3 linked regions of the Schizosaccharomyces pombe genome follow. The main gene of each other region encodes a partner of the protein of the gene in region 2 in a complex. Each region holds a gene or a part of one and is shown on either strand. Other genes may lie near its edges. The genes, in order: mrpl23, mhr1 and mrpl25.

Evidence for each region.
Region 1: mhr1 (region 2) and mrpl23 share a complex: the UniProt entries of both Schizosaccharomyces pombe proteins name them as parts of the mitochondrial large ribosomal subunit.
Region 3: mhr1 (region 2) and mrpl25 share a complex: the UniProt entries of both Schizosaccharomyces pombe proteins name them as parts of the mitochondrial large ribosomal subunit.

Annotation. Positions count from the first base shown.
Region 1 is NC_003423.3:4,218,042-4,221,220, reverse strand, and holds mrpl23 (mitochondrial 54S ribosomal protein uL13m), read right to left. Parts: upstream 1,449-3,179; 5' UTR 1,319-1,448; coding exon 1,298-1,318; intron 1,256-1,297; coding exon 803-1,255; 3' UTR 605-802; downstream 1-604. Other genes in the region: scs2 (VAP family protein), read left to right, coding at 1-276; mrz1 (ubiquitin-protein ligase E3), read right to left, coding at 1,741-2,547. UniProt on the Schizosaccharomyces pombe protein: Component of the mitochondrial ribosome (mitoribosome), a dedicated translation machinery responsible for the synthesis of mitochondrial genome-encoded proteins, including at least some of the essential transmembrane subunits of the mitochondrial respiratory chain.
Region 2 is NC_003423.3:1,799,526-1,803,028, forward strand, and holds mhr1 (mitochondrial 54S ribosomal protein mL67 ), read right to left. Parts: upstream 1,766-3,503; 5' UTR 1,734-1,765; coding exon 1,206-1,733; 3' UTR 688-1,205; downstream 1-687. Other genes in the region: vacuolar membrane cation-chloride cotransporter Vhc1, read left to right, coding at 1-687; SPOM_SPBC18H10.18C (uncharacterized protein), read right to left, coding at 2,831-3,168, 3,214-3,503. UniProt on the Schizosaccharomyces pombe protein: Component of the mitochondrial ribosome (mitoribosome), a dedicated translation machinery responsible for the synthesis of mitochondrial genome-encoded proteins, including at least some of the essential transmembrane subunits of the mitochondrial respiratory chain.
Region 3 is NC_003424.3:4,993,006-4,996,444, forward strand, and holds mrpl25 (mitochondrial 54S ribosomal protein mL59), read right to left. Parts: upstream 1,503-3,439; 5' UTR 1,440-1,502; coding exon 1,041-1,439; intron 930-1,040; coding exon 891-929; 3' UTR 619-890; downstream 1-618. Other genes in the region: lipin, phosphatidate phosphatase Ned1, read left to right, coding at 1-329; meiotic recombination protein Rec24, read right to left, coding at 3,025-3,439. UniProt on the Schizosaccharomyces pombe protein: Component of the mitochondrial ribosome (mitoribosome), a dedicated translation machinery responsible for the synthesis of mitochondrial genome-encoded proteins, including at least some of the essential transmembrane subunits of the mitochondrial respiratory chain.

The sequences.
Region 1 (3,179 bases), 2.4 Mb from region 2:
AAGAATGATTTCGATTCTAAACTTCCTGAATCTACCCCTGCCGTTGAAAAAGTTTCTGAAAATCTCGGATCTGAAACTCGTGAATCTTTACAAGGGGCAAAACCTGCTGCAGGTGCTCATAGTTCCGACAACGCCTTGGAACAAATCAAGCCCTCTTATTCAGCTGACCCTTCGAGTTCCACTGGTGCTTCTTTAACCGAATCTCCAGGAATTCCTCCCAATATTGTTATCATTCTTTGCCTGATTTTCTTCCTTATTGGCTATCTTTTCTTTTAAAATGTAAAGCGTAGATATGTTTAATAAGAAGTGTAAAATCTTCTCCCTAAGTTAATGGCTCTTGATTTTATTACTTTATATGGCCTTTGCTAAGCAAGGTTTTAGGTTGACGTTTGTTGAATTTGTTTGCTCTTCACAACGATAGGGTACTTTTTAGCGCGTTTATCTGGCTTTGGAGATAATTTCCAAATGTCGTTATTTATGTCGACGTCTCATGTTATCTACTTTTTACTCGCAAGAAAAGTTGTAGTCCTCTTATGGTTACCAGACATTCATTCTTACCAGTTCACAAACGTAAATGTGTCTTTAAATACATTACAGCTTCTTATAGTGAATACAATAACATTAATTTATATAAAATAATTTTTTTTGGAAAGAACAATATTAAAATGTGTTAGCTTTTTAGGGCATACGACATTGTGGAATGTTCAAACATTAATGCAAAAAATCAATGAAATTTAAGTGAGTAGGGATATGGCTTTTGTTCTTTGAACTACCTTTTAAAATTAAAGGAGATTTTAAACACTTATTTCGAGAATAATTCCTTCGCAATTTGCGAACTTACAGGATTATGGTAGGAACGAAATATGTTTGCCTTATAAGGGTGTTCAGCTCCATCGTAAATATAAAGACGTTTCATTCTCCTATCCCAAAGCTTATTTCTTGGAAGCATTCCACCAACTGCTCTTCTCAACAAATCCTTGTGCCCCCGTTTCGCAGCCATTTCTTCCATCGTCCACTCTTTAAGATGACCAGGCTGACCCGAATGTGAATAATATTTATGATTTTCGAGTTTTCGACCAGAAATCCCAATTTCAGAACAGTCAGTGACTACTACGACATCTCCACAGTCTGCTGCAGGGTGATAAATGGGTTTGTGCTTGCCCATAAGAGTAGTTGCAATTTGGGAAGCCAGCCTACCTAGAGGAACATTTTTTGCAGAAACATGATGCCAAACTTTGGCGTAAGCCAATGCTGTCTGATATTGTTAGTAAAAGAAACTGTCAAACTAATTTCATACTTGTCCATTCAACGTTGACATCGCGTTGAGATTTCTATATCATAAAATCCTCAGTTCCTTCTGATTTTTCTCTTAAAGCGACAGTACAATATCAGTGGTTTCTAATAAAAGAGAAGTAGGAAAATTGCTCAAATAATGTTTCCTCAAGCTTGTAGGTGTGGGTAAATATTGGATGCTAAGCAACTGTAGTAAGGTAACTGTTACCTACAAAATTTCTATTTTTCAAAAATGTTGTTTTATTTATTATTTCTTAAATATTGATTTTTCAATTCATAATACGAACCTCCTTTACTAATCATGATAAAGCTAATAGCTATTGCTTCAAAAAATACCATTTGTATATATTAGAAAAAATAAGGCAATGAACGATACAATGATAAAACTAATTTTTGATAAGCCCAAAGAATCACAGTAAATTGCAATAATATACAATTAACGCTTGATTACGAATTTTCCGTCTCAGGACCAGATTCATGCTGAATGTTTTCAATTTGACTCAACAGCTGAACCATTGTTAAGCCTTCCGGACCATACAAATATCGCTTGCTATACAAGTAGCTGCTTATCGACAATGGACGGAATTGTAAATATCTTTGCAATTCATGGAGGAGTATAGAGGACTCTTCATGGCCTATAAATTCCGCTAATTCATCAATGGTTTGTGGATGTTGAATATTCTGAACTCGTAAGAGACCCATCAAAAAGATTTGTATAAAGTTAATTTGATGTCCATCTAAATATTCAAACAAGAGAAGTTCTTTAGCAATAAAGCTTTCCACTTTCTTTAATAAAGATGCGCTAGAAGCTAGTTGGATAGGAGTGGGTATTTGATATTGCCTATGTGATGAAAGCGAGGGATTTTCATAGCTTTTCCATGCCTTTTGATAGATGAAACGTCGTACGCGTAGCAAATCGGCCAATCTGTCAGTGTTTTCGCTGGAGGAAAATGAAGGCTGCCGTAGTAATTGTCGTGAAATCGAATACTGATTTGACCCCAAAGATTGAGTATACCACTTCTTATACAAACTTGACCCATGAAATCCATAAAACACACAATCTACGTGTCTCTTACAGATGGGACATGTCAAGGATTGATCCATCCAGCGACATATGCAAGAATAATCGAACTGGTCATGCCCACATGGAGATAGCTGTGCCCGAAGACCATCTTTTTGTAAACATATAACGCAATCTCGACGAAGGTAGCGAGAATTTGACGAGTTTTTACGTACAAGGAATTGCTTTTTCATTCTTCTTCTAAAATTTAATAACTTGTTATATTGTATTTATGCACTAAATTAATTGATGTGTATGAAACCGCATGAATGGCAGAATGTCAAGTTATCTTGTCATCAAAAAACATTGTGTGCTTATTCTTCTTAATGGAAAATTATTCAAGTCATAATTTGCAAGACTTGTTGAATTTTTTAAGGTGAATTTTCACAATCGTCGTCTTACACTAGATGTAGGCTAAGTTATGAGAACAATTAACAATTCGCAGTTACTAAACTGAATCTCTTCTGTACGCTCTTCGTAACGTTAACTTAGCTTAACGCGGTTAATGCTATATGCATAATACAAACAAAGAAGTACATGTTAATGTTAGCAGAACTACACTAGCTATGATACAGTACGTTGCGTATCACTATATGTCATATGCTAAGATATTACTTAAGATTCGTTTGCTGATAGATGCGGATAAATTGCTTTTCTGCATACATAAATAAATTGCTAAAAACTATTAGAAAGATTGTAAATAGAGCTACCACTGAACCTCGTTCCTCAGCTCAGTTATTAGCTATATCGGTGACCGATACTAATAGACTTCTTATAACAATAAATATACATTGTTAGTTAAATATTGCATACCGCTATATTGTAG
Region 2 (3,503 bases):
GCAATGAATTTGGATGCATATAGGTACATTGTCAAAAATGAGCATGTGAGACCTAGCAAGTCTTCCGAGCTTGAAAACTTACTGAAAGATGACTCGTGGTGGCAGGAAGAAAAGAAAAGAAGAGGAAATACTGTAGATTCCTTAGGACCTATTCGTTTTCCACGTCGTATGTCTGGTTATAACTTTAGATCTGCCAGCTTTGATAAGAGTGCTCCACCTTTAAGTGTGCCATTGAGTTTCCGCCTTGGGCCACATATGCATTCAGTAAAGTCGTTTGAGACTGAATCTTCTTTCGGAAACCGTTCTTTATCACCAAAACAAGAAAATAGAAGAACTTATTCTGACAGTACTATTGAGTCATCTCTGATGCCCAACGTGGTCCGAGAAGATAGTTCATCTGATAGACTAGCACCAAAGAAAAAAATAGGAAGGGACTATTCTAAAGAGAAGTTGACGTTTAACGATTTATCCTCGAGATCTCAATACATAATTATGAATGAAATCGTGCTGAAACATACTAAAAATACTTCTGTATTGTTTACTGTTTTACCAGCACCTTTGGCCGACACTCATAAGAGCTTTCGAAAAAGCGAGGAATATGTTGATGACTTATTAATATTTATGGAAGGATTACCTCCTTGTGCATTAATCCACTCTAAGAGTTTAACTATAACTACCGCTCTTTAACGATTTATGGTATTTATGTCTTTGGTTTATAAAGTCTTTTCTTTTGGCATTGTTATAACTATTTAAATATTTGGTCCATGATTTCTATTTTAGATGCTAATATTTTTTTTTTATTCTGGACCAAACTTTAAACAAAAAAAAAACGAGGCAATAAAGTGATGAGTTAATCTTGCATATATTTCATAGGAGCTCGAAAACTTCAAAATGGTAAAATAATAAAGATACGAGTATTTGGTGTCGATTTGTATTAAATTTATCTTGTCTTGAGTATCTAGCCAATACTCTCGCATTGAAGTACAATGATAAGCTAAGGAAGCTGTCCAGTGCAATACACTGGATACACTGGGAAGAATTCGTAACCGTCTTTAGTAAAAAGGACTTTATCATTAAGTAAAAAAGATTGAGCTAATATGAATATGTGTTAGCTTATACTTCATATAATGCCCTTTAAGAAAGCCTAAAAATGGATGAGGGGTGTTTTTGAAGGAAGAAAGTGAGAGAAGTAATGATATTATGCTTCATCTAGCTTCGTCTACGGTTGTTTTTTCACGGAAACCTCGCGAGAGTTTAATTTCCTCTGAATCAATCTGCACACTAGGGGGCCAATCTGCATATTCACTATCGGATTTATCACTCAGTTGCAAACGAACGGAATTTTCGGGAAATTTTTCTTTATTTAAAATATCTGCCAAGTCCGCAATCGTGTTAGGAACCTCTTGTCGCATTATTTTTCTTCTACGAACGGGTATAGGCAATTTCAAAAGGTCACTAGTCAGTGGTTGAACAGAACGATATTTTCGATAGTTTAACAGTTGCATAAAAACAGATTGAAACATTGATTCATTAGGAAATTCGACTTTTAGTAAAGGAACCCAATGGTCTTTACGGAGCTTAGCGGGTCGCATACCATTTGGAGCGACTGGCTTTTGAAGTGGGTAGGGAAGTTGAAACAACGCAGTCTTTTTTAAAACATTTCCTTGAGATAAAAGTACCTGATTCGTTTGAATATGCCTAAATATATAGAGATACTTGTTCTTTTCAAGCATTCTTTCCTTTTACGAGTACAGATTGGCTGTTTACATATATGCTTGTAAGAGATGCGAAGTTTGTTAATAGCGCGTCCGCGTATAAACGTTGTGCCCAATAAACACATATCGTTTGCTAGCACAGATGTTAGGCAGCATTGCGCGTTGAGCAGCCAAAAACAGTAAATGTTTTAATGATACGGTGAGTGACGGAAAATTTGAATACTGGTCAGCTACGCAGTTTAATATCTATTTAAAGTGTCGCTCACGTATTTCGGTATCTGCTTAACGATACTTAAAGTGCAATGAATCTCTCTGTGACCTAATATATTATGTTACACAGTTAATATAAGCAGCAATTTCAATGGGTGTTCTCTGAAATAAATTATATTGTTACCTATGGACATAGCAAAAAATATTACTTTTCGCTTGGGCTGAATGTTGGTAGATTTTGAATACGAAAGATTTCATATAATACAAATTGAATAATTTTTTAATTCTTTTTGTAAAGAAATTGCTACTGACCAGGAATTGGGAAATCGCATTATTTAAAATAGGTTTTCGCTCTACACCAAATTGATTTTTCATTTTTATTTGTTTTAGAAACAAGTTTGAACTTATATTTCCTGTATATACTGTATTTTAAAGCTCCGAACACTTGAAAATGATATATGGAATCCTCATTTTATGCATTAAACAGAAACTAAGGTTAAATCACTACTTTGCGTCTTTTGAGTAATGCCTTACTTGTTCAATTTTTTAATTCGCAAATCTTACAAAGTCATAATTAAGGATTGTATATCAATTTGGTAAAACAATAAAGAGGATGATTAATTTATAATTGACAACCAGATTCATTAGTTAAATGACTTTTCCTAGCACCACAGAAACACATCGTGTTTACTCTATAACAGAGACAAAAATGTATGTATGGAAAAAGAGTGATGACTGTCATCGGAAATGATTAAGTGACAATGCGTATAAGGTAATAATACAAGAAATAGAAATAAAGGGGAAAAAAGGAGCTTCTGCAGGAAAGTAAGAAAATTAGTAATGAAATAAAAAAGACACTCGCAGCTGGTTGGCAGCCCCTTGATTTTTTTTTCTAGCCATGACTTTTAGCTGCTGCCCGATTCTACATCTTTAGAAGTGTTGCAATCGGTTCCCTCAGCCATTGTGTTGTCACTTGCTGGCTCTGTGGTAATTGCTTGGCCTCGCATAGACGACATTTCAACGTCGCCAGTCTCTTCATCTTGTTCTATTACTTCGAGCCCGAGAATAAACAACAGTAAGGATAAAATAATATGAGCCAAACCTTGAATTGCTTTAGCTACATATTTAACTAGGCCTGCAATCGTTTTAGCTACATGTTTAGCTAGACCTTCATTCGCTTTAGCTACAGATGGTGCATAAACATAAGCTTCTTCAAACGCTAATTTAATTAACGAAAATGAAACTAGAAAATCGTTAGCCATGAATTCAAATCATCTCAAAAACTTACAATAAACAATAATCACTGTCATCACGTATGTAAATATTAACACTATAGTTTCAATAACATATTTAACCACAGAATTAAGATCCGCCAATGCCTGATCGAAATAATTATAAAAATTATGATAAAGCAATAAAGTAAGAATGAAAGGAAGGAAGATATGAAATATCGCATATCTAGCTTGTGTAAGTCGCACATTTTCCGAACGCTTTCTTAATCTAGCAGGTGCAGCCATTGTATTTTTTTTTCGTAACGATGGTTGTGTTAATGTTGAGTTTTGTTTGACAATTGGATTG
Region 3 (3,439 bases), on a different chromosome or scaffold from region 2:
ATGTTTACATGAATGAGCTTGTCGATCATTTCTTCCCTCCCATCGAGGTTAGCACCCGAGATGAAGTCTCAAGCTTTACTGATGTGAATTTTTGGAGATCTCCTTTGCTTGAACTTAGCGATGAAGAAGAAGACGATACTAATAAAAGCACATCCAAGTCGCCCAAAACACCCAAAAATACGAAATTCGGATATCAAGAATTCGAGGGGATTGACGAGGAAGATGCTCAAGATTATTCTCCTAGTCCATTGATTAAGTCTTTCAATGAATTAATGTTTGAAGGTGAAGAAGATGAAGAAGGAGAAGAAGACGTTGAAAATGCTGTTTGAAGTTGCATTTTCCCAATTTCCGATGAAAAAAAAATTACTCGACTGTCCATCTTTTTTTTTAATGCCCCAAAATCTTAAAATCACTTTGACGAATTTCCGTCGGCTTTGAAATGCACTAATAAGCTTAGAAAGTTACATAAATCATATAATGACTTACTTACTCATTCACAAGTAATGAGTTTTGAGAAAGTGCTAAATATTTTTTTTATATTTAAATGCGCTCTTCCTAAAAATTAAAGATAACAAGATACTTCATAATGAAAAGTTACGAATAAATCACATTCTAAAATCCTAAGTCTGCAGATTCAAAACCTAATATTTAAATGTAATTTAACTATTAAAGTAGAATCATATTATTAGTAAAGATTACAAAAATGTATAGACTAGTATATTAGTCTTTTTATCATGCTGCACAATAAAAGACTTTTAGTAAACACATAATTGAGGTAATATAGCAGTAAATTTAAATGAATCTTTAAAAAAATTTAAGGAAGTCATAAACAAACAGGAATCAAAAGGTATTAACAGTATTACGTGAAACCCACTTTGCAGAAGAAGAATTTAGAAAGGAGAAGGTTTCGCTATTTTGCTAGCTTTTTGCTAAAAAGAGTGTTAATAAAGACAATTAAAAAAATAATAATAGTAAATTTTTCACAATCAAAATCAGTAGATAGAAATAAGAAAATCATGAAAGTACAACAGTTTACATACGCGCTCATTTTTAAATTTAGAAGTTTTCTTCAATGATTCCGAAAGTTTTAAACGCCTATTTTCCAAAATCTCATCCCTCTTTCGTTCACTAATTTTTCCTTTAGGATTCAGAAGACCTTTCAAAATATGGCGTGTAGAATCTTTCTGCCATGACATTTGTTGGGGGAGTAAATTATCCAGATTCTGAAGCCTGGCCTCTTTATATATTTCAGCTTGCCTTCTATTGGAATAGTAAGGGTTGATTACAAGGCCATTCTGAGGATTTCGAGTTGCGAGAAACGGATTTTGACGATTTGGATTTGTCGTCCATGCATTTGGATTTTCAGGCGGAAACTTTTTAAAAAAGTTTCCTAATTGGATAGGAAGCCGTTCCAAAGCTTCCTTGGTAAAGACTGGCATGATAAGGTTAAAACCTCTTTAATCTATAGAGAAGCTCAAAAAGACAGTGAGTCAAGCACTATTAGTATTAGAAAATACATTGACCTAAGATGTCGGCAAACGTTTAACTGCGCTATATTACGTTAAATCAATCATTACTGTTCATTCTTGAGTTCTTAATCGAAACTTTTCATCGTTTGAAATATTAAAAGAGTTTATTATCTCAGACAATTCTAAGCCAATTTATTGACTATTAGCGTTTATTAGGTCGGACTAATTCTTAGTTACTCAATTTAGTTCCAATGGATATACTAATTAATATAATATTACGGTGTAGCAGTACTATAGTTAATAAATACAAAATTATCCAGGGTATTATTTTATACAAATATAAAAATCACTAACATATTTCGTTATTATGTATATCGTTGTTAAATTAGCAACTATACAAACTCCTTAAAATATTTTACATACTGCGTAGATGGCTTCCTCTCGCATTAGTCCCTCTACCTTAGGCATCTTTGTTGGGTTGCGTTATTTAATTATTGAAGGCTGACAGTATGTGTGATTGTGTTCCGCCAACGTAGCATTCAAACGCTTTCAATCATTATCGTTTTTAGTTGTGATTGCTTCTATGATTCCATCAAATGAGGCCCGTTCAAGTAAGCTGTGTGTGGTTATAGAGTTTCTGATGCCAGTAAAATTATCATATCAGATCATGTACGGATTCCTACTGACACATGTTGAGAGTAAGCAAAAAAAGCTCAATCATGCTTATTTTGAGTATTTTAAAACATAAATAAAAGTAAAAATTATTGTAGGAAAAGTCCGGTCATCTCTCGATGACTCCAATTAGTGGAGAATATAAGAAATACTAAAGGAATTATTTATAATGACATGTAACGCAGTGTGACATAAAGTTAGTAGTGCATAGAACTGTTGGTGATATCAAGTTGACAAGGAATCGATAAGACGCTCTTTAATGTTGAATATTAATAAGCCCTGTAAGTATCCCTGTTCTTCTAGTTAGGTCTATAGCTGAAAAACCTTCAATTCTCTGGAGCTTGTGTGGTTTTATCCATTATCACTTCCTTCGATTTATCCCTCGTAAGGAATAGGATAGCAATGCGTATAGATCAAATCGCGGATTATGAATGAAGGCTTGTGCGATAAATTTCCTTTACTTGATCAATAATCTTGTTGTCAACGCGTTGTATTAAATGCGCTTTATTGGAAAAGAAGAAACATAGCTTGTTGATTGAAATTCCAAAGTTTCTTGTAAACGAATTTGGAAAGCACTTCTGTACTTGAAAATAATACAAATTGGCCACTATATATTCGCTTTTTTTGTTCCTTTGTTTCTTTTATCCATCAATTTTTAAAAGCAGAAAACCTTTCCCTTATGCCCAAGATTTAAAAGGGAACATAATATCAAAGTTCATCGAATGGATATGATGATCAACACTTTCACCACAACGTTCTTTGTACATTGAATTTCCAGAAAAATTCCACCAAATGTTGTGAATATTTTAGGATAACAAAAGGAGTCAAATTGGAAAGGCAAGAAATGAATGTGTGTTAAATAGTGGCCCTCAATATATTACTATTAGGAAATGTCTTCGGGAAATAGCATATCTTTGAGGCCAATCAAAAGGATGGATGGAGCAGAGTAGGCACTCTTAGACAACTCTTGTTTATCAGTTTGTAATTCTTCATTTGTGATTATGTCTCTTAAGATTTGGACACATTTGCTTGCGGCAGATGAAAGCTGAGCATCGAAGGAGTGTAGACAAGGGAAGTATATCTCAGCGTACGAAAAAAAACATTCACTATATAACAACCGGATAGATGGGTTATCGTTTTTGCAATATGTGAAGCATATTTTCATCCGTTTAACAATTTGATCTAGTAATTTTTCCAATTGCTCTACGGAAGCGAATGAGAGCTTGTTAAATATCAGTTGCTCCAAAAATACGTAAAATTCCAAAAATTTCGCTCTGGAAATCACTCCAGTTCCATTG